Linked DNA regions of Pelodiscus sinensis. The protein of the gene in region 2 interacts with the protein of the main gene of each other region in a biochemical or structural test. Links are inferred from orthologs where the notes say so. Each region holds a gene or a part of one and is shown on either strand. Other genes may lie near its edges.

Region 1 (7,734 bases), on a different chromosome or scaffold from region 2:
CAGTATCTGTGGGCCAGTACCACTGGCAGTGCCAAACAAGCAAAACCAAGGAGGAGTGCGCAGCTAAAGCCCAGGGAAACGCCCCTTTAGCCAGACACACCCACTGCCGGGAAAGACAACGAGCACACGCAGGGCTGTCAGGCATGAGCAAGCGGAGGAACCACAAAGGAGGTCAATGAAACCCAAGGAGAGACACCCGAAACTGCTTCCATAGCTCAGCTCAAGACAAGGAAGTTTCCCTGTGCCGTGACACTTGGCACGAGGCAGCGCGATTCCTCCTAGGCACCTATGGGCTCAGAGACCCTGCACCCACTAGACCGAAGAGAGGCTTCGAGAAGGGGCCAGCATCACTATTTCGTGGAGAAGGCGCAGGAATGTTAACGTTGGCAGAAGTTTTGCCTGTGATCATGGGGACAGCACAACTCAGTTCTCTATAGGCTCTGTACTGTGCTCATCCAGATGTGCATTAAGCAATCTGACTAACGAGTCATGTCCTCGTTCTCTCCTCCTCCCCCCAGGGGGAGATGTGTGTGCAGCAGAGTGTTTGTTTTGAAATTACACACATGCATGCACGCTAAATGTTACACAAGGCCAAAGAGGTGACTGACAGAGTTTTAAGGCTGAGACTTTCTCCACCCCAAAGCGAGCCCCTACCCTTTACCACTGGCGCCACCATGGGGAAACCCCAACTCTCACACATCCAAGGGTTGCTGTCTCTCACTGCATAAGGACTGATAGGACAGGGTAGAAGAGTCTGTCCTGTTTAACTATTCACATGCATGCACACTAGCCACTCAGATCCTCTATCCCAGTGTTTTTCAACCAGTGGTACGAGTACCCTTAGGGGTACTCGAGAGAAGTCTGGGGGGGTACGTCAACACAACTGAAATTTGGAGAAAATTGAATTTTTGTTTTAAGTTTTACAGAGCTTTTTTTTTTATTACACCCAAAAATTTAATCATCTGGCCAGCTAAGATTAAGCTGTTTCAATGCAATGGTAGAAAAAATTGTGTGCGTCTGAAAACTGTAGGTACTGGGGGATATTGTAGGTTCTAGAGGTATCAGTATTCCTCCTTTCAAAAAAAAAAAAAAAAAAAAAAAAAAAAGGTTGAGAAACACTGCTCTATCCCACCTTACACAATCTTCCCTTTTCCCACCATGCTGGGACTCCGCTCACCTGCGCCTCACCGTTGCCTTCAATGCTACTGCTTCTACTACAAGCACTTTCTTCTTCCTTCTCCGACTTCACAACAGCCATTTCTTCTGGACTCTCTTGGTCTGCATGGGGAGGAAAGTGAGACACGATTACAGTCAAACTAGAATAGGTTCACAAGAAGCAGAGTGCAGGGAAGGGCGAGCAGTTTAAAAACAAGAAAGTTAAGGGAACAGAGAACGCACACAAGGGTAAAAACAGAAAGAAGGGAGGTGAGACTAGAAAGCTAAAGGAGGGCCCCAACTACCCCAGTAACTAGCTATTCCGTGGGATGGGGGTATTAGGAGGGCTTGAGAGGACAGTGAAGGAAAGACGATGAAGCCAAAGAGAGAGGGCAAATGGCAAGCTGCAGGGTTAGCACAAAAACTCAGGGAGGAGGAAGTGGAAGGTCTGGGCTCCCTGCCTCTCTCAGGTCCCTCCTGCTCCACTCTTTCAAGGCCCTTCTTCTGCTCCCCTCACCACACTCTTGGGTTCTCCCCTAATCCCCCTGCACCTGCTCCCATCCTGCGTAGGTCTCTTCCCACGGGCCTTCCCCACATTCCACCCCTACTGCGGTACAGGCAGGGACAGCGATTCCAGGTCTTCCAGGGATAGAGACTGGCCGAGTTTTACCACAGGCCACACAAAAAGCACAGGCAAAGTCAGTACAAGCCACAATTTCACACAGACAATGACTTGCTTCTCCGGCTCCATCAACAATACACCCGATTGCAAGTGCGATATTAATATTCCAATTGATTTATTTTATTATTAGATGGTGAAGATGTAAACAATGTTTCCAGTCACAGTATTTTCAGTAACTGTGCGGTGCCGCTCTTGTACTTTCACGTCTCATTCTGTAAGCAAGTCATTTTTACATGAAACTTCAGGGTAGGCAAGACAAATCAGACTCATGAAAGGGGGACAGCAGCCTGGGGAGGTGGAGAACCACTGCCCCCTCCTCCATCCCCTAAATCCTGCCCCATTAGCCCCCCCCATCTCAATGGTCCTTCCATCCCCCAGAGCCTCCACAGGGGCTTAGGCACGAGGCTCCCCCCCCCATCTAACAGGAGCTCAGCCCCAATCTTCGGGGGGGGGGGTCCCTCACACGAGGGATCCCCCAGAACCCTGCCCCCCCCCCAGGCTCCCTGCAAGATTCACCCTCCAGGGGGTTCCCGCCCCTCCCCCACACTTCCGGGTGCTGCTTCCTCCAGGATCATCCCCCCCCCCCCCGCTCCTGCCCCCCCCCCAAGGATCCTGGCTCCCTCCCTGCAGGATCCACCCCCCTCCCATGAGACCTACCCCCCCCACAGGGATCCTCGCTCCTGCCCCCTCCCTGGAGGGATCCCCCCACCCCGGCCCCCCCAGGGATACCCCTCCCCTGGGCGATCCCAATCAGGAACGCCCCTCCCCCCGTCGCCCCCCCCCGCGGGAGCCCCACGCCACGAGGGCTCCCCCCCCGGGGATCCTGTCCCGCTCCCGAGCCCCTCCCCCGAGGCTCCCCCCTCCTCGGCCCCTCCCCCGTCCCGAGCCCCCTCCCCCGGGCCCCTCCCCTCCCAGGGCGCCGCGGCCCGGGGTGGGGGCGGGCTGGGGCGGGGCCGCCGCCGGAGTCGGCCGGCCTGGCGTCCCCCGGGGCGGGATGGTCCCGTCCTTACCGCTCATGGTCGCTGCGGGGGGCGAGCCCAAGTCGCTCTCGGGGCGGGGGGAGGGGCGGGGGAGCCCGACTCGCTGACGAGGCAGCCTAACCCCGCCGGTGACCGCCAAAGGGCTGGCGAGGGAGGGACTGGGGGCGCTGCGCGACTCGGCCCCGGCCCCGGGACACGCCTCCCGACTCGGCCGGCGCCCAATCAAAAGGCACGGAGAGCCGCGGGGGGCGGGACTAGCCGCAGATGACAGGTTGTGGGGCGAATGGAAAACCAGGCGGGTCCAAGAGGGAGTGGTAGCAGCGCACGAAAAGCCCCGGCCCTAAGATCCGCCTTTTCGACGGCTCCGCCCAATGAGGGAGGGCAGCGGGAGGAACGGACGGCGAGTGTGGCCAATGGAAACCCAGGCCTGCTCGGCGAAGGGTGGACGGAGGGAGGGAGGAAAGGCTGAGGCGAAAAAACAACTGACGTGGCAGGTGGCCAATCAGCGATCGTGCTGGCTCCTGAGGAAACCCCGTATGGGAGAGGCTAGGAGAGCGTGGAACGAAGCCGTGATTGACGCGCGATGTGACCAATCGGCCGTTAGGCGGGTTTTCGGAGGCGGTCTCTGCGAAGGGACGGCCGGCACCACAATTCGATGGACTGGAAGTCACACCAATCAGAGGGAAGAGAGAGAAGGCGGGACGAGGGGCTGACAGGGAGAGCGACCTATCAGCGATCGGGCGGGATGCCAGGCGAAGGCTGGGAGCCAATCAGGAAGGGGAGCAGATCGAAAGCGACCAATGGGAGCGGCTGTGACGGGCTCGGGCGAAGCCCCGGAGGGCTGGGCGGGCCCGGCCCGTGCTGGGGAATGTGGCGGAAAAGGCGCCATTTTATGTGAGCGCCGAGCGCCTGCCCCCGCCCCCACTTAAGGAAGGGAGCCGCCCTGAGCCCCCCTGTCGCGACACCCCGCCCCCCGCAGCCTGTCGCGACAGCGCGCCCCTCCCCCCGCCTCGTCACCCGGCCCCCCCAGCGCCCCTCCCCCCGCCTTGTCACCCGGCCCCCCCCCAGCGCCCCTCCCCCCGCTGTCACCGCCCCCGCCTCGTCACCCTGCCCCCCGGCCCCCCCCCAGCGCCCCTCCCCCCGCTGTCACCGCCCCCGCCTCGTCACCCTCCCCCCGGCTCCCTCAGCGCCCCTCCCCCCGCCTCGTCACCCTGCCCCCCCAGCGCCCCTCCCCCCGCTGTCACCGCCCCCACCTCATCACCCTGCCCCCCGGCCCCCCCAGCGCCCCTCCCCCCGCTGTCACCGCCCCCGCCTCATCACCCTGCCCCCCGGCCCCCCCCCCAGCGCCCCTCCCCCCGCTGTCACCGCCCCCGCCTCGTCACCCTCCCCCCGGCTCCCTCAGCGCCCCTCCCCCCGCTGTCACCGCCCCCGCCTCGTCACCCTCCCCCCGGCTCCCTCAGCGCCCCTCCCCCCGCCTCGTCACCCTGCCCCCCCAGCGCCCCTCCCCCCGCTGTCACCGCCCCCACCTCATCACCCTGCCCCCCGGCCCCCCCAGCGCCCCTCCCCCCGCTGTCACCGCCCCCGCCTCATCACCCTGCCCCCCGGCCCCCCCCCCAGCGCCCCTCCCCCCGCTGTCACCGCCCCCGCCTCGTCACCCTGCCCCCCGGCCCCCCCCCCCAGCGCCCCTCCCCCCGCTGTCACCATGGCCCCCCCAGCGCCCCTCCCCCCGCGGTCACCGCCCCCGCCTCGTCACCCTGCCCCCCCGACCCCCCCCAGCGCCCCTCCCCCCGCCTCGTCACCGCCCCCGCCTCGTCACCCTGCCCCCCCAGCGCCCCTCCCCCCGCGGTCACCGCCCCCGCCTCGTCACCCTGTCCCCCCAGCGCCCCTCCCTCCGCGGTCACCGCCCCCGCCTCGTCACCCTGTCCCCCCAGCGCCCCTCCCCCCGCGGTCACCGCCCCCGCCTCGTCACCCTGTCCCCCCAGCGCCCCTCCCTCCGCTGTCACCGCCCCCGCCTCGTCACCCTGCCCCCCCGGCCCCCCTCCCCCCGTGGTCACCGCCCCCGCCTCGTCACCCTGCCCCCCAGCGCCCCTCCCTCCGCTGTCACCGCCCCCGCCTCGTCACCCTGCCCCCCAGCGCCCCTCCCCCCGCTGTCACCGCCCCCGCCTCGTCACCCTGCCCCCCAGCGCCCCTCCCCCCGCTGTCACCGCCCCCGCCCCGTCACCATCGCCCCCCTCCTCCCGAGCGCCCCTCCCCCCGCCTCGTCACCATGGCCCCCCTTCCCCAGTACACCACCCTCCGCCTGTCACCTCCCCCGCCCCTTTCACCATGGCTCCCCCGACCCCCCCATTGCACCTCCCCACCTGATCCTGTCACTGGTAGGGCCACCCTTCCCCCAGGACCCCTTCGCAACAACCCTCCCAAGAGCCTGTCGTGTCAGCCCCTCCCCCCACAACACCCTGAGTGCCTGTCAGGACAGCCTGTGCCTCCGCCCTGCCAGTGTGGGGGACACAGTCCACCTGTGGAACTCCCTGCCACAGGATGTTGAGAAGACCAGGGCTTGAACAGGGTTCGAAGAGGAGCTACATGAATTCATGGAGGTTAGGTCCATCTATACTTATTAGCCATGATGGGCAGAGAGGGTGACCCCATCCTCTGTTTGTCAGAAGGTGGGAGTGAGCAACAGGGATGAGTCACTTGATGATTCGCTGTTCTGTTCACACCCTTAGGGCATCTGGCATGGGCCACTGTCGCAAGACAGGATACGGGGCTAGATGGACCTTTGGTCTGACCCAATGTGGCCATTCTTATGTTCTTTTGACTGTCCCCACTCTACAGCCACATCACCCATGAACACAGTGTTGTCACCCAGAAACATTACAGTCCTGCAGTCTTTCCACCACTGAACATCTCAGCATCTCACAAGTGTGTCACCCTCCATATCCCATTGGGACTACTACACCCGTCTCCTCAAGATTCACTTATTCTTGTCATCGCAAGACATTATTATTGGACATCGTAGTGTCCTTGCAAGCCCCTCCTTGTCTTCTCAGGCTACAGACATGGTATTCTGAGATGGCACACCTCCCATCAAAAAATTGACACAACACACTGAGACACAGCTATGCCCCTCAGACACCCACTCCATTTTCTCTCAAGATGCTAACAAGTATTACTCTGTATCCACAAAAACAATGAGGTGTCCTGTGGCACCTTAGGGTACATCTACACTACACAGTTATTTAGGAATAAGCTCTTCTGGAATAGTTATTCCAAAATAGCTTATTTTCAAAATAGCACAGCTACACTGCAGGGAAACCTCAAAATTAGTCCAAAGCTGGCTTGCCTAATGTAGATGTGTGCCATCTTGATTTGGAGCCCCAGGAGGAATAACTTAGAATGGCCCTGGTGGGGGCTATTTCAAAATAGCACAAGTGGAGCATCTACAGCTATTTGGAAATAGCTATTTCGGAATAGGCATTATTCTTCATAGATAAACTTAAAAAACAACAAATAGTCTGGAAGCACTTTAAAGACTAACAAAACATGCAGATGGTATCATGAGCTTTTGTGGACACAGCCCACTTCTTCAGATGACCAGAGTGTTGTAGAATGAGGTTTACAGAAGTCGGAGTAACCATCCGTTATTTCAAAATTATTTCAAAATAATGGAATTGCAGTGTAGATGCTCACATAGTTATTTTGGAATAACACCCTGTTGTTCTGAAATAACTTTGCTGTGTAGACACACCCTTAAAGATTAACAGATTTATTTGAGCATAAGTTTTATGGGCTAAAAACTCACTTTGACAGACCTGTTATCGGCTCGTCACCCAGAGTGCTCAGCACAGCACATCTTCAGACCCTGTCCCCATAGCGGGCACATGACTCTGGCAGCAACCCATTCCCCTTATACCCCGTCGCAACAGCTTTTTCCCTAGTCTCTGTCACAACAGTACAACCCCCCAGAGCTAGGGTTGCCAGGTGTCTGGTTTTGAACCGGACAGTCCAGTATTTGAGCTTTCTGTTCAGAAAACAACTTGAAAAAAATATAAATGAGAAAATACAAATGTCCGGTATTTTCTAAATAAGATGTAATATAGATTGTGATGTAATGTCAAGTATGTCCAGTATTTTTGTTGAAATCATCTGGCAACCCTATAGAGCCGGTTACCATGTCTGACAAAAGTGGCATTTTGCTCATGAAAGCTTATGCCCAAATAAATCTATTAGTCTTTAAGGTGCCACAGGACTTGAAGAAGCTAACGTGTTTCCCTAGAAATTTTCCTGGAAGTCATGCATCCCCCTGAGACTTTCTCCACACCACTCCTCACTCCCCCGAAACACCATGGTGTTGCCTCAGTTGTCACCTTATCCTGTGTCCTTTAATATGCTGCTACCGAGTGTTTTTCAGGAGTCTGGGCCCACCTTAGGGTGCAGAACAATTTCCCTGCCAGGCCTCACTGGAAGGTCAGGCCCAGCACTGTATGAGAATAGACATCATGTTCTTTCCTACCCACCTGCCTAAGGAGCCACCCAAAAATCATGACTCTGGCTCCCCAAAATCTTCAATTTGGCTTCAGAATGATACGTCGTCTTTTTCTTTGCCTCTTGGTTTTTGAACCTGTAAGCGATGCTCACTTCATGTTTTCAAGCTTTTACAATGATGAAGGCCACAATATTACTTTTTAAATGAAAGCTAAGATTGAGTCTCATCTAATCGGAGACTTCAGAAGCTGGGGCTTTAAGAAAAACTCAAAATAGCATGGGTTTGTTTCATAAACATGAGGCTGGCGTTCCAGCATGGATGAATTTCTGCATTGCTTCCGAATGGTATGTTGTTTCTTGTTTATCTTAATATTGTGACATTCAATGGAGCCAAGGAAGGTGAAATTGGCACTTCTTTTAACAAATGAGGTG
Region 2 (7,282 bases):
TGCTGTAGTCCTCTAATGGAGTTAAGTTTAAGGATTCACTATATTAGGTTTTAATTCCTTAGTGATTGCTGTTCAATATAACCTTTGATGTGAAAGGACATGAAACTTACCTTAGACCAAAAACTCCTGTCATTAATTTATATAAAATATATTCATGTGTTTAGTTTAAGATAAGAGGCTAACACAGACTTTGAGAAAAAATTGAAAACGTAATGTTTTATCTCAAGCCACAAGAGATCAGGTGTGTGTGGGGGGGGGGGGGGGGAGATGATATGTTCTCATCCTGCCCACAAACCATGCTCCATTCACCTGTGAAGCCAAAATAGGATGTTATTGACAACAAACTATGTATCCTTCATAACATTTATTGCAGCCTTTGCTCAGTAGTGAATTCCATTTAAGCCTCTTTAATCCAGCAACCCTGGGAAATAGGGTAAAGTTTTCAAACCACAGAGGGTGCTGCAGTGGATTCTGGGAAGAAGGGAGCATGCATGAAGGGAATAGGGATGCAGGGTCTGGACATGAGGTTGATGGGAGTGGGGTATTTCTGGCACCCTGCTATGGGAGCATATGCGGCTCCATGCCCCAAAATACTAACTGGGGATGTTAAAGTGGGTTTACATAAACATGTAATTGTTGAAATTCAGGGCTTACACATAGGAGCAGAGCCATCTGACCCCACCCCTTGCTCCCATCTCACCCCCTTGCTGTTGCCTCAGATGGTGGGAGAACTGCGTGTAACCATGCACAACAGATTAGTCCAAGGTCATTGATAACCATGTACATGTTTGCATCCTTAATACCAATCTCTGCTGCCTCACCTCCAGACCAGCACTTTGCTATGTTGCTGTTTCCTTAGATGTGAGGGAGGGGAGAATGGCAGCACACAGAGCTGCTTCCTCCTCTCCCTGCTGGAGTCCAAACCAATATCATTGTTAGCATTCCACTGAGGTAAGTGGAGCAGATTATACTTCAGAGAAGTACGATTTGAGGCTCTCTAGCTTCAGAGAAATGCACAATTAGAATCTATCTACAGCAAGGGTATTTCTACTGTACAGTATACAGGTGCTAACCTCTCCATGTAGATGTGTTGAACAGGTATAAAACAAACTTGCACTGGTGAGGCTTATCTTGGTTTCTAAAGTAAACTGCACTAACAGGTCTTACATTCAAATCTGTACACTTAATACATGTTATATTCACTGCAGCTTCACTGGTGTAAACTATACAGACAAATATAAACAGGTCATCAAAACATACTGAAAGTTATCACAATAACTAAAAGGGCTAACATCATCATCAAGTAAAAGCATGTAAACACACATTTAGTTCCTTGGTGAATCCAGGCCTAAATGACAGTTTACATTCCGGAATACAAGCCTCTCATTCAGTCATCAAGAAGTCATCATAATACAACCTCTGAATGAAAGTTTATGCTGTAAAGAAACAAGTAACAAATCAAACCTATTTGAAAAAGCATACATAGTTTTTAAAAGCATACATTATAGAAAGACACTGTGCATTTTGAAGGGAAAACAGCAAAGGTTTTGGAGAAAAGTTATTTGTTTGCTCTCAAGAGTGCAGATGAATTTAGGAAATTAATTCTTTAATCCATTTCACAGAAAGACAGACAAATGGGATAAATAATTTAAGGAAAAACACGAGAGCATGTCAGTGACATTCGCGCATCCTTCTACCCACGTACAACATATACACCAGCTCAACTCAATCTCAGCATACTATTAGCTGGTAATAAACATCTTAACTTGCTCAAATACATATGTGCATTTCTCCATCATTCTGATAGCCTGATTCAAACAGTTATGTCAAAATAGTTGCACACACACATTCACTCTGCATAAATGGCGGTGTTTCACTGAAATGTCTCTGGGATACAACATAAATACAAATAATCTTGCAGCACCTTAGAGACTAACAAAAATGTACATGGTATCATGAGCTTTCATGGGCACAAGCTGATGCCCACGAAAGCTCATGATACCTCTAAATTTCTGTTAGTCTTTAAGGTGCTGCAAAACTGTTTTAAGTTTATTTAGTTACAGACTAACACAGCTACACCTCTGAAACTGATACACAAGCGTTTCAACCTTGAAAAGTATTTTCACCAATATATGAGGTTTCTTGTCCTTACTGGGGGGAAAGATGCCAAATCACAACCAAACAAGATAGATAATGGAGGTAATAAGAATAATAAAGTCTCTTTTTAGTTTTACCCAGTGTGGTCCTGGCACATAAGGTGAGCTTTGTACTCCGTCAGTCATGGCCATTATTTTGGCTTCCTTCTCCATTATAATATATATCATACTGCCAAGAATTAAAAAAAAAAAGACAAAACCAATCCAAGAGACAGTGTAAACGGACAAGAATAGTTAAGCAGAACTCGAGCCAGGACTGGAAGAGGAAGGGGCAGCCCCTGGAGCGAGGAGGCAGAGAAGAGGGCAGGAGATTTGGCAGCAAGCGGAGGTAAGACGCAGCTACAGGAGACTGGGAAAGGAAGAGACACTTTAGTCCCGGTCCCCTGCCCGCAGGAGAGCAAGGAGGCTGGGGCCGCGGGCTGTTGCCCAGCCCGGGAGAGGCTGTGGGCCAGGCAGGGCTCTGCCCCCCGGCCGGTACTCACCAGACCATGCCGTAGGCGCCCTCCCCGATGTAGGAGAGGTTGGTGTAGCGGGGCCCCACATCGAACGCCTGGCCCCGCACCATCTCCGGAGTCCCGGGGTTGGCCGAGCCGCCCGCAGCCCCGGCACCCGATACCGCCGCCATGTTCTCGGTGCTGGGAACCGCTAGGGAAGAGGGGAACGCGGTCGCCTCGGGTGCCCGCGCGGCGGCTGCGCTCCCAGGAACCCGCAGCCGTCCGGCCCAAGGCCCGCTCGCCGCCGCTGTGAGGAGGCTGAGGGGCGCGCGCCCGGAACGGAGGGTGGTCTCGCTCGCGCGCACACGGCAGGAGGAGGAGTGGTGAGGGAACCAGGCGTTATAAGCATGGGAGGGGCGGGGCAAGCGGGGACTGCGGTAACTTCAGAACCGCCGCAGAAAAGAGGGGGGCGGAGCCAAGAAGGGCACGTGGTCGGTGTGCCAGCTGCGCTGCTGCAGGGAGCCATTCAGCGTCAGGTGACGGATGCCCGCCTGCCAATGGGCTGAGGCCTGCGCTTGTCAGGGCCCTTGGGCTGCGTCGCCAGACGGGGGCGTCCCCGCGCCTTGGGGTTGTGTTCTGCTGAGGCAGCCCGGGATGCCGCCCCTGGCGTTGGGGCCGGCCGTTGGTCAATCCCTGACATGGCTCTCGTGTCAGTCAGGGGCTAGGCCCCGCCCCATAAGCTGAGTAGGAATCCACTGTACTCAGGTACTGCTCTGCCCCGCCCTTGGCCCATGGGGGGAGGGGGACTCGTGTGGTAACTGGCTTTCTTGGCGGGAGGAGGGGTTACTGCATGACTGCTGGGCGTCCTGCCCTTGTCTCAGGGAGCCGAGCTGCGTGAGTATTAATCCGCTAGTGGACATTAAACACGCTTGAGCCAGTGGTCAGTGCCCAGCAGTGCTCTCCGTAAGCCCTGCCTGTGTGGCTGCCCAGCAGAGTGCCTGTTGGTGGTGCACATTTGCACATGCCTGGGTGCGCATAAAATTGTATTTTGCACACGGATGGGAAAAATCTGCACCTGCATTGAACAGATTCGAGCAAACATTGGAGCCTAGGGAGTGGTATGTCTTGTGTGCCACATCCTTACATAATGCAGTGGGAACAGTAGCTCTCTACCCTTGAAATAGGATTCCATACTGCATACTCAGCTCATCTTTAACTTGAAAATAGGGTTCTGAAACTAGTGCTGCTTGTCTTGTTTTCTGGCCATCCTGCTAGTATTGCTCTCTTGATTGCTTGTAGGTGGGTGTTCTTTTTCTTAGCCTCTGGGTCTCCATCTACTTCACTTTTGAAATTGAAGATATCACAATATGTTCATAAATTCAGTGTCCTGATTCCCTTTCCACTGATGCTGGATATATGGGCCCAGCTAATGGTATCAACTAATGCCAGTCATCATTCAAACAATATCTGATCTTTGCTTTCTAGTGTTATTAAAGGCATATCAGCATGCGTTGCCATTTCTTTGGAGCACTTTTTAAAAAGGGGCTTTGTCATAATTGTGTCTAGGGGTTTGTGTCCTCATTGCACTATTAGGAGTACAGATGCAATTGTTCCACTCCAAATACCACAGCCAGAAGCTCTTTTTCTGTTTAAACATACCCCTGTATTGCCTCTGACAGCACTCTATTAGCATATGTGACTGATTGCTTCTGCAAAAGAGCTACACCCAGTCCTCTCTGATGCATCACATTGGAGTGTCAGTAGCTCACCACGGTGGTAGTACTTAAATCAAATGCTTGCTCTTGGGATCCCATGTAGTCCCACTCAATATCGTGCCTTGTGAGATGATTTATAGATTCTGCTAGTGCAGCCAGATGTGGACAAAACTTGGATGGACATTTATCATGCTTAAGAAGTGCTACACCTCTCTCACAACAACTGGAACTGTCATGTAGCTGCTTTAAGCATGTTGTGATCAGCTCTCAGTCCCCCTGCTGTGAGCTGATGTACAAAGTATGTCATCTCATGTTATTTAAATTACATTTTATTTTGGTTTAATTCTATCGTCTTGTCCCTGTATTGCTATAGAAAAGTTTATAGTTTTCTATAAGGATGTTAAGAAGTAGGTAATTGGCTAACTGTGTAGTCAATACAATTTGTGTCACCTACATGATTAGTTGATAATGGGAGGTATTCTCTCCTGTCTCTGGGTCCAGGAGCTGCCCCCTGCTGTGGCTCTGCAGTTTAAATGTGGTAGAAACTGCTGAGTCCCAGCTTGTGCTGGGTCCTGGACCTTCCCCACTACAGCTCTGCTTTTTAAATGTACAGGCAGTCCCCGAGTTACGCGGATCCGATCCGCAGTTACGAACGGGGTTTGCTGCCCGTTTCCCTGGTCTCCTGAGACGGGGAGCAAAGCCTCTGAGGACGCCGGCAGCGGGACAGCCACGGCACATCTGGGCTGTCTGCTGCCCGCGTGCTCCCCGGCTTTGCTCCCCATCTCCCTGGTCTGCTGGGGGGGGGGGGGTGCAGCTAGTATGCCTCCCCCCAGCAGAGCAGGCTTTTCTCCGTACGCCTGTGGTAGAGCAGCTGGGGTGCTGCCGGTTGGTCCCGCAGCGCCGCTCTGGGCGCTACTGGACCAACCCAGCAGCACCCCAGCTGCTCTGCCCCAGGCGTCCTGATTCAGCCGCTGCTGGTCAGTTTCAGCAGCAGCTGAATCAGGACGCCTGGGGCAGAGCAGCTGGGGTGCTGCTGGGTTGGTCCAGTAACGCCGAGGAGCGGCGCTACTGGAGCAACCCAGCAGCACCCCAGCTGCTCTGCCCCAGGCGTCCCCGAGTCAGCCGCTGCTGAAACTGACCAGCGCTGACTACAGGAAGCCCGAGGCCGAGTTGCTCTGCCCTGGGCTTCCTGGAATCAGCCGCTGATCAGTTTCAGCAGCAGCTGACTTGGGGACGCCTGGAGTTCTTAAGTTGAATCTGTATGTAAGTCGGAACTGGTGTCCAGATTCAGCCTGTTGAAACTGATCAGAGGCTGATTCCAGGAAGCCCGGGGCAGAGCAACTCTGCCTCGGGCTTCCTGTAGTCAGCTGCTGGTCAGTTTCAGCAGCGGCTGAATCTGGACACCAGTTCCGACTTACATACAGATTCAACTTAAGAACAAACCTACAGTCCCTATCTTGTACGTAACCCGGGGACTGCCTGTAGTAAGAGCCTGGAGGTCAGGGACTTGGCACGAGCTGAGTCTGCTGAGTCCCAGCTTGTGACAGGTCCCAGACCTACTGCAGCCTGCCACCAGGGCTGCTGAGTCCCTGACTGCTGCAGGGGTCCATGATTGCTGTGCCTCTGCCTTATAAATGTGGTAAGAGCTAGGCAGCTCTTACTATGTTTAAAAGGCATAGCCACAGCAGTGTAGGTTTAGGACCCACACAAGCCAGGACTCAGCAGTCCTAGTTCACGCTGGTCCCTGACCACTATGCCTCTGCTTCCCCTGCCCCTCCCCCTCCCCCTGTACTGTGGAGATGGTGCTGGGAAGAACCAGCTTTTAAGCTGGCTGTATCCAGCATCAGCTCCTGCTTCTCCCCTCCTTGCTGCTTCTGATAAAGAGGCAGCAAGGAAAAGGAGCGAGTAGTTGGACTCAACTACCTGATAAGCCCACTGGATGTAGAAGCTACCCGTGCTGAGGCTCTGAATCTTAAATGTAGTAAGAGCCCGCCTGGCTCTTACTACATTTAAAATGCAGAGCCACAGTGAGGGTAGGTTCTGGACCCAGCGCAAGCCAGCACTGAGTCCGGGACTGCTGCAGCTGGCCTGGCTCTTGCTACATTTAAAATGAAGGTAGGTGCCGGACCCAGTTCAAGCCAGGACTGAGCTGGGCTTGCTCAGTCCTGGATCATGCCATGTCCAGCATCCCTGTCCATGGGGGTACTGGCAGGGAACTGGGACCCACAAAAACAGGGGCTGCCACCAGATAGAGGAAGAAGCATGGGAAGGGGGGCAGAGACGGTGCTGGGAGGATCCGGCTTTTAACTGGCCTGATACAGAGGCAGCAAGGCGAAGGGAAGGTGAATAGTTGAGTAGTTGACTACTCACTTACATTCCTAATGGGCATAAGGCAGTGGTAGAGGGGTCTGGTCCAGCCCTACTGTTTCACTCTGCTTTAGGGAGCAATAACTCTCCAGAGCTCCTCAGACTGCTGTGATATTTGAGGCAGTGGTGTGCTTCAGAGTGGTGCATACATACCTGTCTGCATTATTTCCTAGTAAAAGGCATGATAATAGTTTTAGTTGCCTGCTGTTGTCATTCTCCTGCATGGTTATCTCTGCCCACAACTGTCTTATCACTGGGCTACCTGTGAATCTGCAAAATCTAGGTTTCTGGGGAATTTCAGATTGAGTTCCATGGTTTATGCTGCCAACTGCAGCTCTTCAGAGACCTCACAGCAGCTCCAGTGCTGCCACTGTGTTTCATTTGCAAAGAGTGAAGCTGTATTCAGCATAAGCTGAACACATGGAATTTTATTAAACCTTGTGTGCTGTTCTATTCCTGAATCTGAGTTGCTTCCAGCTCAACCCTATTGATTTACCATGTTCCCTGGTGTCCTATTATTAAGAGCCCCTCTAAGGAGCATGACCTGTATGACTTGGTTCCACTAATCATGATACATTTCCTCTATTTTATTTTATCCTTTAATACATAC
Region 3 (7,739 bases), on a different chromosome or scaffold from region 2:
ATTAGAAAAATCATAATTTATTCTATTTGTATAAAAAGTCATAATCATGTAACAAAACCATGTCTTCTTTCATAAGAAGAAATATATTATTTCACATCATAAATAAATCAGCAAACATACAACCCTTGGAAACTAAAAAAGCACTCATCTGGTGCTTTCATGTCAGTGCTTAGGAAGTGGGAACAGTTTAAGATGTGTTTACAGGATTACAGTACCCAAAAAATACTGAGGTATTTGGTTTCTTTAGAAATGAAACTTCAGGCTTGTAAAGGCAAGAACAATGCTTCTACATAAAATAAATAAACAGGACTTTTATATAAAATGGAACATAATCTCTGTTGCTTAGAATGTCCAGAAATGGGAATACTGGTGGGTATGCTACTGAACAAGGACTAGTCTTTTCAACCTGACAAAGGAGGAGTAATTCAGAAGAAGAAAACAGCATTCTGTGTTCTTTGTCTCCTTTGTAGACATCCAGATATTGGTCAAAAATATGCCAGCAAATTCAAGGAAGAACTAGCTCTCTGGAGTCACATCAGCCCCTTTGTGCTTGTGATAAGTTACTCTGAGATGGATGGAACCCCATGCGAACTCACATGACTGAAGACACTGTCCCCATGGTTATTGCACTTTTTAGACAAGAGTCAAGTTTTTGTATTCTGAATAAATGTTCCTCTATTCTTCAGCAGCTCGGAGAAGTGGTGATGGGACTCTGTAGATAGCTTAAAGCACTGGATGAAGGGTGTACAGGGATAGAGACTGGGAAGTTAAAGACTGTGGTGGTTGACGTTCCTCTGTCCAATACAGACATGGCAGGGCTTCCAGCCTCTGCGGAGCAGTTAGGGGCTAGGACTTGAGACTCAAACTGAAGCAGCTGCCCCATGAAACTGAAATTTGGGGAGATGATGCTTCTCCTCTGCTTCACAAATTCAAAGGCCTCGTCTAATTTGACTCGATTGGTCCTCATGAGATAAGCAAGGCAGATGGTTGCTGAGCGAGAGATGCCAGCCTGGCAGTGCACAAATACCCTTCCACCATCGTTTTTAACAGAATCTGAAATAATCAATTAAATGACATGGTTAATACATGGGTCCGGTTCCTCCAATGCTACAGAAACATGAGCTTTTATTTCTGAATTTGTTCTTTCCCCAGCACTCAAGGTGTGCATGGCACTTCAGACAAAGAGACACTTGTCCTGAGGTAAACAACCACCTAAGGATTTCTATCCCGAATAAAACTAATTCCAACGATACAAATAGTTTCTTTCAGCCTCTGACACTTGTTTGAAACAGTTATCACTGTTTTAGAAATCAAAACCTACTGGTGGAATACCAGGCTAAATTTACTAACTGCTTTATAAAGTCAAGAATCCTTTCAGCAGTTAGCAATACAGCCTCGTAGAGAGCACAGACCCAAATAAGATAGCTACAGATTTACTTCATGTTACTTTAATCCCTGAGGAAACAGCTTCCCATGTATTTTAAGATTAAACTGGGCTAGAGATTTCCACTGAGATCTCTACTTCAAGGGAAATGCAAGCTGATTCTCTGGAAGCACAGGCTGCAGAGAACACTCATTTACCTATGAAGTCGATGGCTTCGTTAAACCAGGAGCTGATGTCAGCCTTATGGTTGTCCTCCACTGGAATGCTTTTGTACTGGTAATGCCCCTCAAAATGGTTGGGGCAGTTTGCTGAGACATTGATTAAGGCGGTGATTCCCAAAGCATCCAACATGTCCTTTCTGGAGGCATGATAGGCACTGCCCAAGTAGAGAAATGGTAGGATTTCCACTGGCCCACCCTAAACAAGAAGAGACAAAGGAAGAGGATCAGATAATTGCACTGTGTGGTTTAAAGTAGCCTCTCTTCTTTTGCTATATGCAGGCAAGCAGACATTTGCTCTCTTCACTATCTTTTCTGTGTCTGAACATCACCTCTGGAGATGCCCAGCCTTAAGGGCTATAGTCAATTCAAATGACCCTTTCTTGTTTAGCAGGTTTCCTACTGACCTGGTCATAGAGCGGGGTTCCACAGGAGCTGCAGCCGGAATCCGCACTGCCAGGCATGCTGTTGGCACTCAGAGGCAGGCTCAGGCCCGTGGGAGCGGTTGGCTTGGTACACAGCTCAGCGCAGGCGGAAGAGAAGGCTTCGTACCCTCCTGGAATGGGGAGAGAAAACGGGGAAAGTCTTGTTAGCATTGGTGAGGCGTAAATGCCCTGTTCCCCCTGAGAACACACAGGCCAGATAGTGTCTGGCTGGCACAGTCTCCCCCTTCTCCCCCGCCCTGAGCGCTCCCCGGACTCACCCCTGAGGAAGCAGATGCGCGTGTTCCTGGCCTCCCTACAGAGAGTGTTCACGGCCAGCATAATGGTGCTGTCCCGCTTCGGCAGCTCCAGGTCCGAGCTGCGCTCGTCGAGCAGCACCACGGCTTGGTACCCGCCGCCGAGCAGGCGGCCCCGCAGCTCCTCGTTGGGGATGATGTGCTCCAGCCCCATGGCCCCCTTGGCCCGCCGCCGCACGATGGTGCTGAAGCGGACGTTGGCGGAGCCCAGGATGTGCGCGGAGTTGAAGGAGAAGAAGGAGCGGCAGTCCAGCACCAGGCACTGGGCAGCGCGGTCCTGCAGCAGCCCCCGCAGCGCCTCGCAATCCAGGGCGCACACTTGCATGTTGACCATCGCTCGGAGCGCGGCGCGGGCGGGCAGGGTCCGGGTCCCCAAACGCAGGAGCGGGGAGGTGGGGGAGGACGGGCGGTGGGTCTCTTTCGAGGTCCAAGGGCGGGTCCCCTTTGTGTGAGCGCGGGGGCGGCTTCCTCTCCCGGCTCCTTTGTTGCTTCTCGGGGCGCTTTTTACAAACCAACCGCGCGGCGCGTCTCGGCAATTTCTTGTGTGTAATTCGGCCCGCACAGGCAGAGTCCGGGTCCGAGGGGAAGCGCCTCTGACTGCAATGGAGGCTGGGTCCGCGAGTGCTCTGTGTGCCCCCTTCTTGCTCCCGCTGTTCACAGGGTCCTGGCGGGCTGCAGCGCGCGCGCGGCCTTTTATAGGCTCCGCGGCGGAGCGGCCTGCCCCTTTTTTGTGAATGAGCCTGGGTCACCTGACTGCTTCAGACTGACGTCACTCGGAGGGGCGTAGGGCAGACACTCCCTTGCCCGGGAGCACTCACGTCATCGGCTCGCCAGCAGTCGCTGGAGTGCAAACTGCAGACACACACACACACACACCTTCCATCCTGAGCCGGCAGGAAATCGACTGATGCAACCCTGCGCGCTGCAACGCCACGGGCAGCAGCCACCGGGCCCCTCGGCACACAATGTACAGCGGAAAGCCGAAGAACATACACGCGCTTTGTTCATCTTTTTGTTCCGCAGTCTCTTATCGGGTCGGTGTGTGAGGATTCACACACACTCCCCTCAGGCCTGGTGTGATGCCGTGGCTAGGCACAGTCGCTCTCGAACTGCCCTCTGCTGGGTGGAATTAGAGCTCTTCCACTCAGTGCCATAGACCCCACACTGGTAAGAAGCTAAGTGAGGTTCCTTTAAAGCACAAGTAATAGTGATTCCTCCTTTCTTCAAAACAATATTAGTTCATGTCCATATTCCTTTATAGCTGTAGTGTCCAACCAGTTCTGAAGCAGTAGCCACTGCAGTAGCTATTGCTAAAGCGAACTAACCACACTCAAGTGGCTAAATTGCCAAATGTGGCTAGTGTGGTGGAGACCACAGCTTTATAGAATAGGAATATGATTGCCAGCACAGATTCTTCATCTTATGTCTCTTTAGGCTTATACACACATACCCCTACTGACATTTACTTTAGGCTTACACACACACATCACATACTGACATACATCTGGCATGTGAAAGGAGTATTCAGAAAAACATTACAGGGTGGTGAGAAGAGGAATGGGCAATTTTTAAATATATATTTGAGGTTCCTAAGAAAGAGGGGGTGTGTATATATGCAGAGGAATATTTCCTGTATTTTGTATGAAAGAAAAAACAATGTAACTAAACTCTAGTCCTGGGACTGTATTCTTTGCATACTCAAAATTCCCACTGAAATCAGGGCTACGAAATAACTGGCAGTAGAGTTTTTTTCCCCCCTTCACCAATTAGTAAGGCTTCCCAAAAGTTACTTTTCCCTGTGGGTGATCAGCTTTTATCAACCCACTGGAGTATTTCTTGCTCAGAGCTTCCCATCACAGTTATTTTCACTTCCCCGTCCTCGGTGCCTGATTTTTATGTAGTCTCACAGCCTGTCTTTCCCTTCTCTGTGTATTCTCTCTCTGTCTCTGTTATTACCCATGGGGAAGAAGGCTCCCCTGGGGTGCACCCTTACCTTGAAATAAGATATGTAAATTGTGTAGCTTATTTTGAGGTAATTTTGAAATAGCTTATTTTTAAACTTGGTGCCATCTACCCCGTGCCTAATTTCAAAATAAAGTGCTATTCTGACAAGTCCCTTAACCCTTGTGGAACAAGGATTACAGGGACGCTGGAATAGTGTGTCCATTATTTCAAAATATATTTTGAAATGACGGGCATGTTTAAAAATGTGGAATTGCTATTTCGGGATACTTTCGGTATCCCAAAATAGCGCTGCTGTCTAGATGTAGAGCAAATCTCTCTGGAGTCCCTTTTCCCTATTGGCCATTCATTGTGACTCCTGCTTCTCCCGTCCTCTTACCTCCATACTACTGCTTTTTCCTTCTCTGCCTTATAGGCAGCAGTATTCTCTTACCATCCTTCTTCTCTAGCTACATCTTTCAACACAAACTTTCCCTGTTCTCATTTCCTCTAATACCCTCAAATTGCTTTGGGGAAGCCTCTCACACTTTCTAAACCCCAGACTGCCACAATTTTCTGGGACTTTCCAGAGCCTTCTGCACTGGCTCCTGACAAACTATTAGTGACCAGCTGCTTCAGAATGTTCCAGAACCTCCTCTGTAACTCCCTGTCAATCCATAAACAAAAAAGGGCTCTACAACCTTCTCAACTTCCCTGCTGATCTGTATCTGACCAAGTGCCCCACAGCATCCAGACCTTTCTCCCCCAGACAACTGACTAATTGCCAGTCTGAAACTGATTAACTGATTGTGCAATTGCCTCCATTCTGCCAAACCATGACTCCTCTGCCAAAGCTGAAGATTCAAAGCAAATCTGTTTTTTTCCTTAAAAATAAAAACAGGGTTGCACTTTTTCATTTCTGTTTATTTATTATTGCTATTTTAACAACACCATGACTTAAACACAGATTGTGTGTGAAGGATTCATATGTTCCAATGGTTGATGTTCCAGCCCTCTATCAGCTACTCAGTTACTAGAACCATGGAGGCAGCGTACAACACATCATTTCCAGTGAATCATTAATGCCCAAGAAGCATGATCAGTGAAATATTCTGCTCACAGTTAAGTGGCTATTTGATCAGAATAGGTCACATAATCTGTTGTATGTGCTGCATACAATGTTGACATTAGCAAGGTTATTATTTATAAACCTCACTCTGCACAATACTCCAATTCAAATTTTAATGACCATGTATTCACAATCTGCTCTTTTAGGGGAATAATAATAATGATAATTATCAAGAATAAATTTAGTAATAGTCTTTTCACAAAAAACAAAACCCACTGTTATGTCCCCCATGCTTTTATGAAAATTGGCTTATGAGTATACTTAACTCAGACACTCTAAAATATCTCATGTAACATCAATTTTAAAGTTACAGTCTGCTGAATCTGTATATTTTAATTTTTTGCATGTATCATTCTTGTATGTGAAGTTAGAAATATGAAATGTGAATCTGGTTTTAAATCTGAATGTGCTAATAAGGGCCATTACTGATGCTGTGGAAACATAATGGCTCAGTATTCAAACCAACAACCCACGAATGGCTTATTCTTCTTAAAAGCCCAAATTGTGGTTGGTCATAGGACTTGTGGCCAGGCCACGTGATGCTGAAACCCATTTTGGACCCTGTACTTTTCCACTCAAGGTGAGAAAAGTTTGAACTTGTATGATTACAGAATTCACGCCTTGGGCAAAAAGGGTATGGGGTGAGGGAAATCAAACAAAAGGGGCAGATGCCAGGAGATGCCACTTACCACCTAACATGCCTGTTCGGAAACATCTAAGATCGAGTAGGGGTGAAGAATCCTAGGCCCAACCTAGGAGGCTGCTTAGCTTGTGAAAGATGTTTAGAACAACTGTTTAGGGTAATAATTTTCATGTCGAGTATATTTAGTATTTTTGAATTGTTTATTTAAACTTAGTAACTTGCTTTGATCTGACTGTTTTCATTGTAATCACTTAAATCCTACATTTTGTACTTCATAAAACATTTTTGTTTATCATCAAGCCCAGAGTAAATAATTGTTACTGGAGGGGAAGGGGGGGGGGAAGAAACTATCACTGTGCATACCTCTTTCATAGATAAAGAGGCAAGCATCTTTATGAGCTTTCTCTGTGTGAAACTTTGGTAAAAAACTGATTTATTTGGGCTTTTGGTCCCTTTTGTGGTTTGGTTTCCTGGATACTGAGTTCTTATAGCCAAGCTCCTGGAGCTGAGCTGGTTCAGCATCTCTGTTGCTCTGCAGAGGGCAGTAACCCCAACTCTGTGCCTTGGATGGGGCAGACACAGGGTCTTGCCCAGCAGGACAGTGTGGTAGAGAGTCCCAAAGGGCAGGAAAGCAGACATTAGAGGCATGATCAGCACACCCAAGGGGGTTTCTGTAGTCTAATCCACAACCACTCAAGAAAGAATAGGCCAAGAACTGAGGCCCTTAGAGAATTGTCTTGGCAGAATTCCTACTTACTGCATATACAAGTAAATACTCAAAAATCATTTCAGGGAGGAGAAAGGTGGAATGCAGCCATAGATTAATGTGACACGCTGCAATAGCTCAGTATATGGGTGAAACCAGACAATCACTCTGCTCTTGAATGAACTCACACAGGAAATGTATAAAAGACCGAAGCACTATATTGCCTGTGAGTGAGCATTTTTTCACAGTGATTACTCTAAATCTAACTTATCAGTCCTCATCCTCAAACGAAACCTGCACACCACTTTCAAATGTGAGGCCTGGAAGCTAAATATCATTACTCTTCTAGACATTAAACATCACAGACTGAAGAGAGACACTGGATTTATGGCTTATTAGAATAATCTATATCCCAATAACACCCTTTTGTCATATATCTGTAGAGATATTAAAGGGCTCTCAATACTTATCATGTGTGCTATTTAAAATATAAGTAAACAACCTGTTCTACCTTGCATTTTGCTCTGATATTGGGAGTAGCTTTTCTAAACCCAAAGAAGAGCTTGAAATCTTGTTTCTCACTAACAGAAGCTGGTCCAATAAAAGATATTACCTCGCCCATCTTGTTGCTGCAGAATCCCTTATCCGCCTGAAAATACAGCAGGAAAGGAGAATGTAATTCTGAGATGGCTTTTGACTAGGTTAGGCGTGGGCAATAATTTTAGATGGGGTGGGGGGCACTTCACTAATTTTTGAAGTGGCCCAGGGCCATTCATAAGCCAAACTTCATAAACATGGTTGGGGGAGAGAACCGTCACAGTAACGAAAGCAGAAAACAGTGTTATAGTGACATTTAAAGAGTTTAACTCAATTAACTTAAATTAGGATTTGACTTCCTGTCTTAAAAAAAGTCAGGAAATGCCAAGTTAACTCCTCACTCCTAAACAAGTCCTCCTTTCCAAGCTGACTAAAATTTCAT
Region 4 (6,877 bases), on a different chromosome or scaffold from region 2:
TGACCCTTATTGGTATAAAGCAGGGCTCGACAAATTATACAATCTACTCGCCTGTGGCAAGTATATTGTAACCCGGATGAGCTGGGTTCCAGCGACCTGCGCATGCGCAGATTGCCGGACAGCGTGGTTCGGCGAGCCCTGGATATAAGGGTACACTGCACACATTTGTTTGTAGAATCTTTTCTTGAATAAAATGAAATAAGATGTTTACTCCAGTAAAACAGACTGCATGTAGAAAGCAAGGATTTGAATAAAAAATATCAATTAACTTCTACGAAATGAAAGGTTAGAGTATTAAGCATTTCAAAATAACTTCAATAGATGTAATCATATGAGCAGAAAAATAACTTTCCAAACTGTTATTCAAGCATAAAACAGTTAATCAATGCATAGTTATACTTACTAAGTTTGTTTAGCTCCTGGCGGATTGTCTGACATTCCTGAGTCTCGTTTACAAGTCTCTCCTGACTTTGAGCCAGACGCTTTTCCACTTCAAAATACTGTTGTTCTGTACAACACCAACACATTATGTTAACATTACTTCATAATTAGTTTTTATTAGGGAACCATATCTACCAGAAAAATGCCAGAAATAATCCTTTCACTCCTGCTCCAGGCTCTACTGAAAACTTTAAGTGCAGTGCTACATTGCTAACTAAAGGTAGGACCTCTCTGCCAGATGCAGTCCCAGTGGTTGGGAGTGGGGGTCAGCCAGGACTCCAGAGGCAGAGTGGCCAACTGCTGGGAGTAGAGGCTGTCCGGGGCCAAAAGTGGACAGCCTCCACTGTCCCCCTAGGAATCTCAGTCTGGATTGAGCACTTGCTCTGGCTGGGGATAGCTCACGGGCCAGGAGACTGAGACCCCTGTTCTACAAACATCAGTATCTTTAATGTCATTTTACAAAGCAATAGAGTCACAGGGAAGTATCTTGCCCAAGGTTACCCACTGAGAGAGCCAGATATTAAATCCAGGTCTCCTGGTCCCACTCCTCCGTTCTAGACATTAAGATATGTTGCCTTTCCAACTGAGCCCAGGGTGATAGCAGTGATTTTATTGGTTAACTGGCCCTTGCCAGTGAACTCTGAGCTGGAGCAGCCCCAGTTGCAGAGAAGCCAGCAGGCTGAACAATGGGACCCCACAACATAAGTTATGGCGGCAGGACATAAGTTAAAACAGTTAAGTGCTAGTGTTTAACCAGTTAACTGATTTAACATCCCTAGGTGATAAAATCATATATAATCAATGTCATTGTCTCAAAAAAAATCTTAAGAGTTTAAGCAGGGAAGAGAGATAGGATAGCTCAGTGGTTTGAGCATTGGCCTGCTAAACCCAGGGCTGTGAACTCAATCCTTGAAAGGGCCATGTAGGGATCTGGGGCACATCTATCAGGGATGGTACTTGGGTCCTGCCCTGAGGGTAGGGGACTGAACTTGATCTCTCAAGGTCCCTTCCAGTTATATGAAATAGGTATATCTCCATATAATGCCAGAAGGAACTACCTTATAGTCCCAAAGCCTGGGTTGGATTACAGCACTCAGGAAGCCAAAGTGTTGCATAGGTGATAATTCAATCACCCTTTCAAAGTTTTGTTTCCAGCAACTGCAGATCATTCAGAAAGGTTAAAGTTTCAAAAACTGAGTTTACTGGAAGTGTTGCCGGATTGGGCTCCCTCAGAATATGTCTAGATTGAAAAAATAAAAAAACACCAAAACACAGCTGTTGAGTCTCAGAACCTGGGTTTATAAAACCAGACTCATACTATAGCATTAAAAATAGACGTATAGAAGTTCCCACTAGAACGTGGGCTCTGAAATCAATGCCCTCCTTAGGGCTCAGACCCAAAATGGGAATAGCTAAAACAAAAAACAGGACTATGTAGCACTTTAAAGACTAACAAGATGGTTTATTAGGTGATGAGCTTTCATGGGCCAGACCCACTTCCTCAGATCAATTTGCAGAAGATTGATCTGAGGAAGTGGGTCTGGCCCACAAAAGCTCATCACCTAATAAACTATCTCGTTAGTCTTTAAAGTGCTACATAGTCCTGTTTTTTGTTTTAGCTAGACCAGACTAACATGGCTGCATCTCTATCACTATTCCCAAATGGGAATATCTTCATAACTATTTTTAGTTCTGGGACACAAAGTGTGTAGACCCGGGCTCACAGAACCACTGTAGCAATGTTCTTTTTTGCAGTGTAGACCAAACAAAGCTCTTATACTCTTCCTCAAGCAACAGCCTAACTTAGGGAACAGATAGAGAATCTCACTCAATAAGTACATTCCCTTTCATTTTCAATTAATTTTAGGCGTTTAATGTAAAGCAATAACTTGTAACTTCACGCGAAGAGCAGCCTCTTATTGAGTTCTGCAAATATTGTTGACCAAGGCCTAAGTGGAGAAGGAGGGTTTAAAAGTCAAAGGAATCCACTTCCTAGAACACGTGTAATGCTCCCTCAGTGCCGCTACACAGCAGTGAAAGCCGTGGGGGACGTTTATACGCCTCTGTCCGCACCAGGAGAGCTGCCCACAGCGTTGCCTCTCGCGCTACCCCTTTGCTGCCAGGGTCTGTCACTAGCCAGTGGCCGCTGTCACAACTCGACACTCGGTTCCTGGTGCATTTCCGTGGCGGGCGGGAGAACCGTCCGCCCAAGCCCGGGGGCCGGCCCCCCTGCCTGGCAGCAGACTCAGGCCTGGTCCCAGGGACAGCAGCGTATCAACGTCTCCCCGGGCCCGGCTCCCGCCACTCACCGCTGTCCACTTTGAAGCGTTCGTGCCGGGCCCGGAGCCCGTCGATCTCGGTCTGCTGGTCGGCCAGGAAGCGCTCCAGCTTCCCCTGCACCGGCTTGGGCAGCTTGGCCAGCTCGGCCCGCTCCAGGACCTGCTGCAGCACCGCCGCCATCTTGGGAGGGAGCCGCTAACCTCGCTACCGCCTCCCGAGCAGCGCGCAGCCAGAGCTCGCCTCCCCGGCTCGCACAGAGCGCGCACAGTAGCCAACCGACCGCAGGCGCCACCGGAAGCGGAACTCGTGTGCGAAAGCTTCCGCAAGTCGCGTCCTGTCCGCCATGATGGGCGAGGCACTGCGGCCCGGGTGGGCAAGAAAGAGGCGCAGCGACCTCTGCCACACAGCACATGGCGGGCCCCGATGGGCGGCAACAACCAGCGCCCGACCTCCGGCGCTGAGAGTTTTCTCTCCTCGAATCATAGAACCTGAAAGAGACCTGAGGCGCAGTGATCCTACGTCATCAACCTGCGCCTTGAGAGCGGAGCGCAGCGCAGCCTGGTGATGTGCATCTGTGGGGACACCAGTAAGCTGTGGCCCTGGCTGGGAGGCTGACCTTGGTGGGGGAGGGGAAGCGTGTCTGAAGGCGCCGGGGGCCTGGCCGCGCGGAGGGGGAGAGCTGGTGGGGCAGAGGGAACATGGCCCCGGTCGGAGGTGCTGGCTCGCCGCCCGCGCGGGGGCTGCCCGAACGAGTGGATTCCGCCTGCTTGCACCTTGCAAGTCCTGGCGCCTGCCACGTCGCCTCTCAGCTCTTTGGTGTAGATCTCGCTCTCTCGCTCTCTCTCTCTTGATTTTACTGTGTCCCTTTGGAGTCGGGATGTAAGTGACTAGTTCACTGCCCGATAAGCCTAGGCTCCACTGGTACTCGACTGTCCTCCCCACCCCCCACCGCCTGATACAGAGTAGCAAAGGGAGGGGGGAAAGCTGGTGCTGAAGGGAGCTTAAAATCCAGTCCCCCCCAGCGCCCTCTCTGGTGTGGGGTGGGGGAGGAGAGACAGAGTCACAGTGGTCTGGAAGATGGGACTGCTCAGTTCCAGCTTTCACTGGGTCTCGGACTGCTGCACCTCTACCTTGTAAATGTAGTAGGGAGCCACCCAGCTCTTATTACATTTAAAAGGCAAAGCTGCAGCGGGGGTGGGTCTGGGACATGGCCTGAGCTGGGACTGCTCAGTCCCTCTTGCGCCAGGTCTGGGACGGTGCCCCTTATCAACTAATTGTGTGTTGATATAAATTGTGTCGACTATATGATTAGTCAATTACCTGCTTCTTAACATCCTTAGTTTGGAAGGAGTGAGTCAAATAGATTGAAGGATATGAGCCTGGCCGCCAGGGGAGAGAGAATCCCCCTATGCCCACCTCCTACATCTTGTGTTCAGGGATTTTTTAAAACAAACAAAACCCTGCAAATGGAAGGTGTAAGACAGGCCTGTTTGACAGACTTTTGTGGCTTAAAAAGCAAATCATGTCTGAAGAAGGGAATGAGCATGTTTAAAGAATGCAGTTATTGTGGACTGAGCCAGGACTAGTCTTTCATTTTTTTCTAGGCAGCAGTTATTTGCAGGTGATGTGATTATAGGCTAGAGATGGGAGTCTGACTGAGAATTGTGAATTCATGAGACAATAATTGGAGGTGAACATTAAGAGTTGAAGGTTGTTTCATAGGTCATTTGTAAATTATCGTTTCAAGACTTTAAATGAAGATATTTTATTTGATATGTCAGTTTCACAGTTATCACATTTAAAATACCTCTTTTTCATACAAGTATGTTAAGAATATACTTACCTATTCAGAGAGAGACTTTTAGAACTCAGTAAAATTATCAGTAACATATTAATATGCTCAGGGTGTTTTTCTGACACTTTATTTCTGTGTTCTTACTCTCCTATACCTTATGTTCTCGGACTAAGTACCTCTAAAAAGTAGATTAATATATTCTCTTTTTATAGATGGAAATTAGGCTAAACCTGCAGTAATGGGAAGAAGCTATTTTGTGGAAGAACCTGTTGGACAGTATCTTTCAGACTTCAGCACCAAGCCAAAGACTTGTGTCACAGGCTTGTTGATAGGACAGGTAACTGTTTAAATTGCTATATGAAAGTGAATAGGCTTTTGTGATGTGAATGTAACTCAGATTAACATGTTCATATAGGGCTTATTATCTATATTCAGCTGTAAAACCTTTTAAGTAGCCGATAGGCCCTGGGCAAGAGTGCAGCCCCAGAGGGGCTGGGGCAGAGAGGCTGGCGATGGGGAGCAGGGCTGAAGGAGAGCCTTGATCTCCCTGGGTCCGGCAAACTCCGAGGTTTGGGACTGCCCAGGTCACGAGGGTGCCCAACCAGAGAAGTCCCACCTGTAGAAGTTTCATGTGTGTTAAGGTGTTAGTAGAAATGAGATTGTGAAGATCATTTTAGTGTCACTTCTTTTATATATTTGTGAATGATTAACATAGCAAAATATGTTACCATTTTAATTTCTTCCTTTTTTGCCATTCCCAAAATTGATAATCTGTATTTTCATTGTTACCTTGTACTATTTGTATTGATTTTTTTCTCTGCCACAACCACGGGCTCCTGCAGAGCTGCCTCCCCCCTCCTCCCCCAGCACTGCTGCCTCTGAGGCAGTGAAGAAGGGGCAGGGAGTAGCAGGTGGGAGCCAGTGCTTGCGGTGCTTAAAAGATGGCTCCCTGCGAGTACTGGCTCCCGCCTGCTACTCCTGCATGTAAATGTGTAACTAATGAAAAATTTAACGGTTACACATTTACAGAATTAAATGTCTCAGAGGGGTAGCCATGTTGGTCTGTAACTGAAAATAATAATAATAGAAAAAACCAATGAATGGTCCTGCAGAACCTTAGAGACTAACAAAACATGTAGATAGTATCATGAGCTTTTGTGGGCACAACCCACTTCTTCAGATGAATGGAGCACGGGGTCCAGAGGTACAAATAAATGGCTAAATGCAGTGATGTTTTGCTAACATCCCTACTCAAAGCTGGGTTCTTGACTAGCTTATGATGGTGCTGACATCCTAATGCTTTTTATTTTGTCTTTTTAAGTTTGTGGGAAAATGGTATATTGGTTCTAGGGTAGATCTATATTGGTATAATGGGCTTTGACTGCAACTCATGTGGTCATACCCAAGCTTTAATTTAGCTAGCTCATGTACCAGAGCAGTGAAACTGACACTTAGGCTTTAGCAAAGGCTGACCACCCTACACATTTTCCACTCTGCTATGGCTTCACTGATGTGGTAGCTGAGTTAGCTAGGTTTAAGCTCAGGCATACCCACAGGGGTTACAGTTACACCCGATGATTGCAGCGCAGACGTATCTTTAATGCAAGGAATGTGTTTAGTTGAGCAATGGTATCCACTTCCTACTTTTTTTTTATGAATTGTGTTTTGAACAGCCTTTCAGCTAACTAGCTGAAGTGCTGAAAGATCAGGAAACTAAAGCACCGGTTCTCAAATTTTTTGGCCCATGGACTACCTGGCTCAATGCAAACCTTTCTGTAGACCACCAATTGCTAATGGAAACTCACTTGTAATTACATAAGTAACCCTGAGCCATTTTGCAAGTGCTGCAGCTAAAGAGAATGGTTTAATTTAAATTATTAAACAGATTAAGCATTTTAACTTTCTCATGTTAGTTTATCAAGCTTCATTTTAAATCAAGTAAAATATTAATTTATGTCCAACACATAATGTGTTCTTTGTGTATGGCAGGGGTGGGGAACCTTTTTAGGGTCAGAGACCACTGACCCACAGAAAAATCAGCTGAGGACCACACAAATAAAAAAGCAAAAAAAACTCCTTCCAAAGCCCCCAACCCACACTGATGTGGCCCGCAACTGAGACAACTCACTCCATTGGTGCTCCAACCCCATGGAGCGAGGGGAAGGGACAGCGAGGATTGAGGTTCAGGGCTTCCCATAGGCTAGATTTACTTTTCTGGGGTTCCAGAATTAGTAGGTTTTGTGGAAACCTAAGGCTCTGGGGTGGGGGCAAAAATGAGAGGTGCAGTGCATGGGACAGGGCTGCCAGTGAGTGGGATAGGGATGGGGATGCTGGATCGGGGTGGGAGTGAGAGGGCTGGAT

The links.
Region 1: of the proteins of MAPK1 (region 2) and SP1, one has a biochemical effect on the other in vitro, tested with the Homo sapiens proteins (2 studies listed by BioGRID). The link is inferred for Pelodiscus sinensis from reciprocal best matches to the Homo sapiens genes MAPK1 and SP1.
Region 3: of the proteins of MAPK1 (region 2) and DUSP1, one has a biochemical effect on the other in vitro, tested with the Homo sapiens proteins (2 studies listed by BioGRID and IntAct). The link is inferred for Pelodiscus sinensis from reciprocal best matches to the Homo sapiens genes MAPK1 and DUSP1.
Region 4: of the proteins of MAPK1 (region 2) and TPR, one has a biochemical effect on the other in vitro, tested with the Homo sapiens proteins (2 studies listed by BioGRID). The link is inferred for Pelodiscus sinensis from reciprocal best matches to the Homo sapiens genes MAPK1 and TPR.

What each region holds. Positions count from the first base shown.
Region 1 is NC_134729.1:286,744-294,477, reverse strand, and holds the start of SP1 (transcription factor Sp1), read right to left. Parts: upstream 3,005-7,734; 5' UTR 2,855-3,004; coding exon 2,848-2,854; intron 1,279-2,847; coding exon 1,178-1,278; intron 1-1,177. UniProt on the Homo sapiens protein: Transcription factor that can activate or repress transcription in response to physiological and pathological stimuli.
Region 2 is NC_134725.1:17,137,695-17,144,976, reverse strand, and holds the start of MAPK1 (mitogen-activated protein kinase 1), read right to left. Parts: upstream 3,019-7,282; 5' UTR 2,782-3,018; coding exon 2,639-2,781; intron 1-2,638. UniProt on the Homo sapiens protein: Serine/threonine kinase which acts as an essential component of the MAP kinase signal transduction pathway. MAPK1/ERK2 and MAPK3/ERK1 are the 2 MAPKs which play an important role in the MAPK/ERK cascade.
Region 3 is NC_134727.1:18,126,216-18,133,954, forward strand, and holds the start of DUSP1 (dual specificity protein phosphatase 1), read right to left. Parts: upstream 3,016-7,739; 5' UTR 2,676-3,015; coding exon 2,306-2,675; intron 2,159-2,305; coding exon 2,010-2,158; intron 1,802-2,009; coding exon 1,582-1,801; intron 1,054-1,581; coding exon 683-1,053; 3' UTR 1-682. UniProt on the Homo sapiens protein: Dual specificity phosphatase that dephosphorylates MAP kinase MAPK1/ERK2 on both 'Thr-183' and 'Tyr-185', regulating its activity during the meiotic cell cycle.
Region 4 is NC_134719.1:54,932,999-54,939,875, reverse strand, and holds the start of TPR (nucleoprotein TPR), read right to left. Parts: upstream 3,015-6,877; 5' UTR 2,902-3,014; coding exon 2,751-2,901; intron 509-2,750; coding exon 404-508; intron 1-403. Other genes in the region: ODR4 (protein odr-4 homolog), read left to right, coding at 4,755-4,853.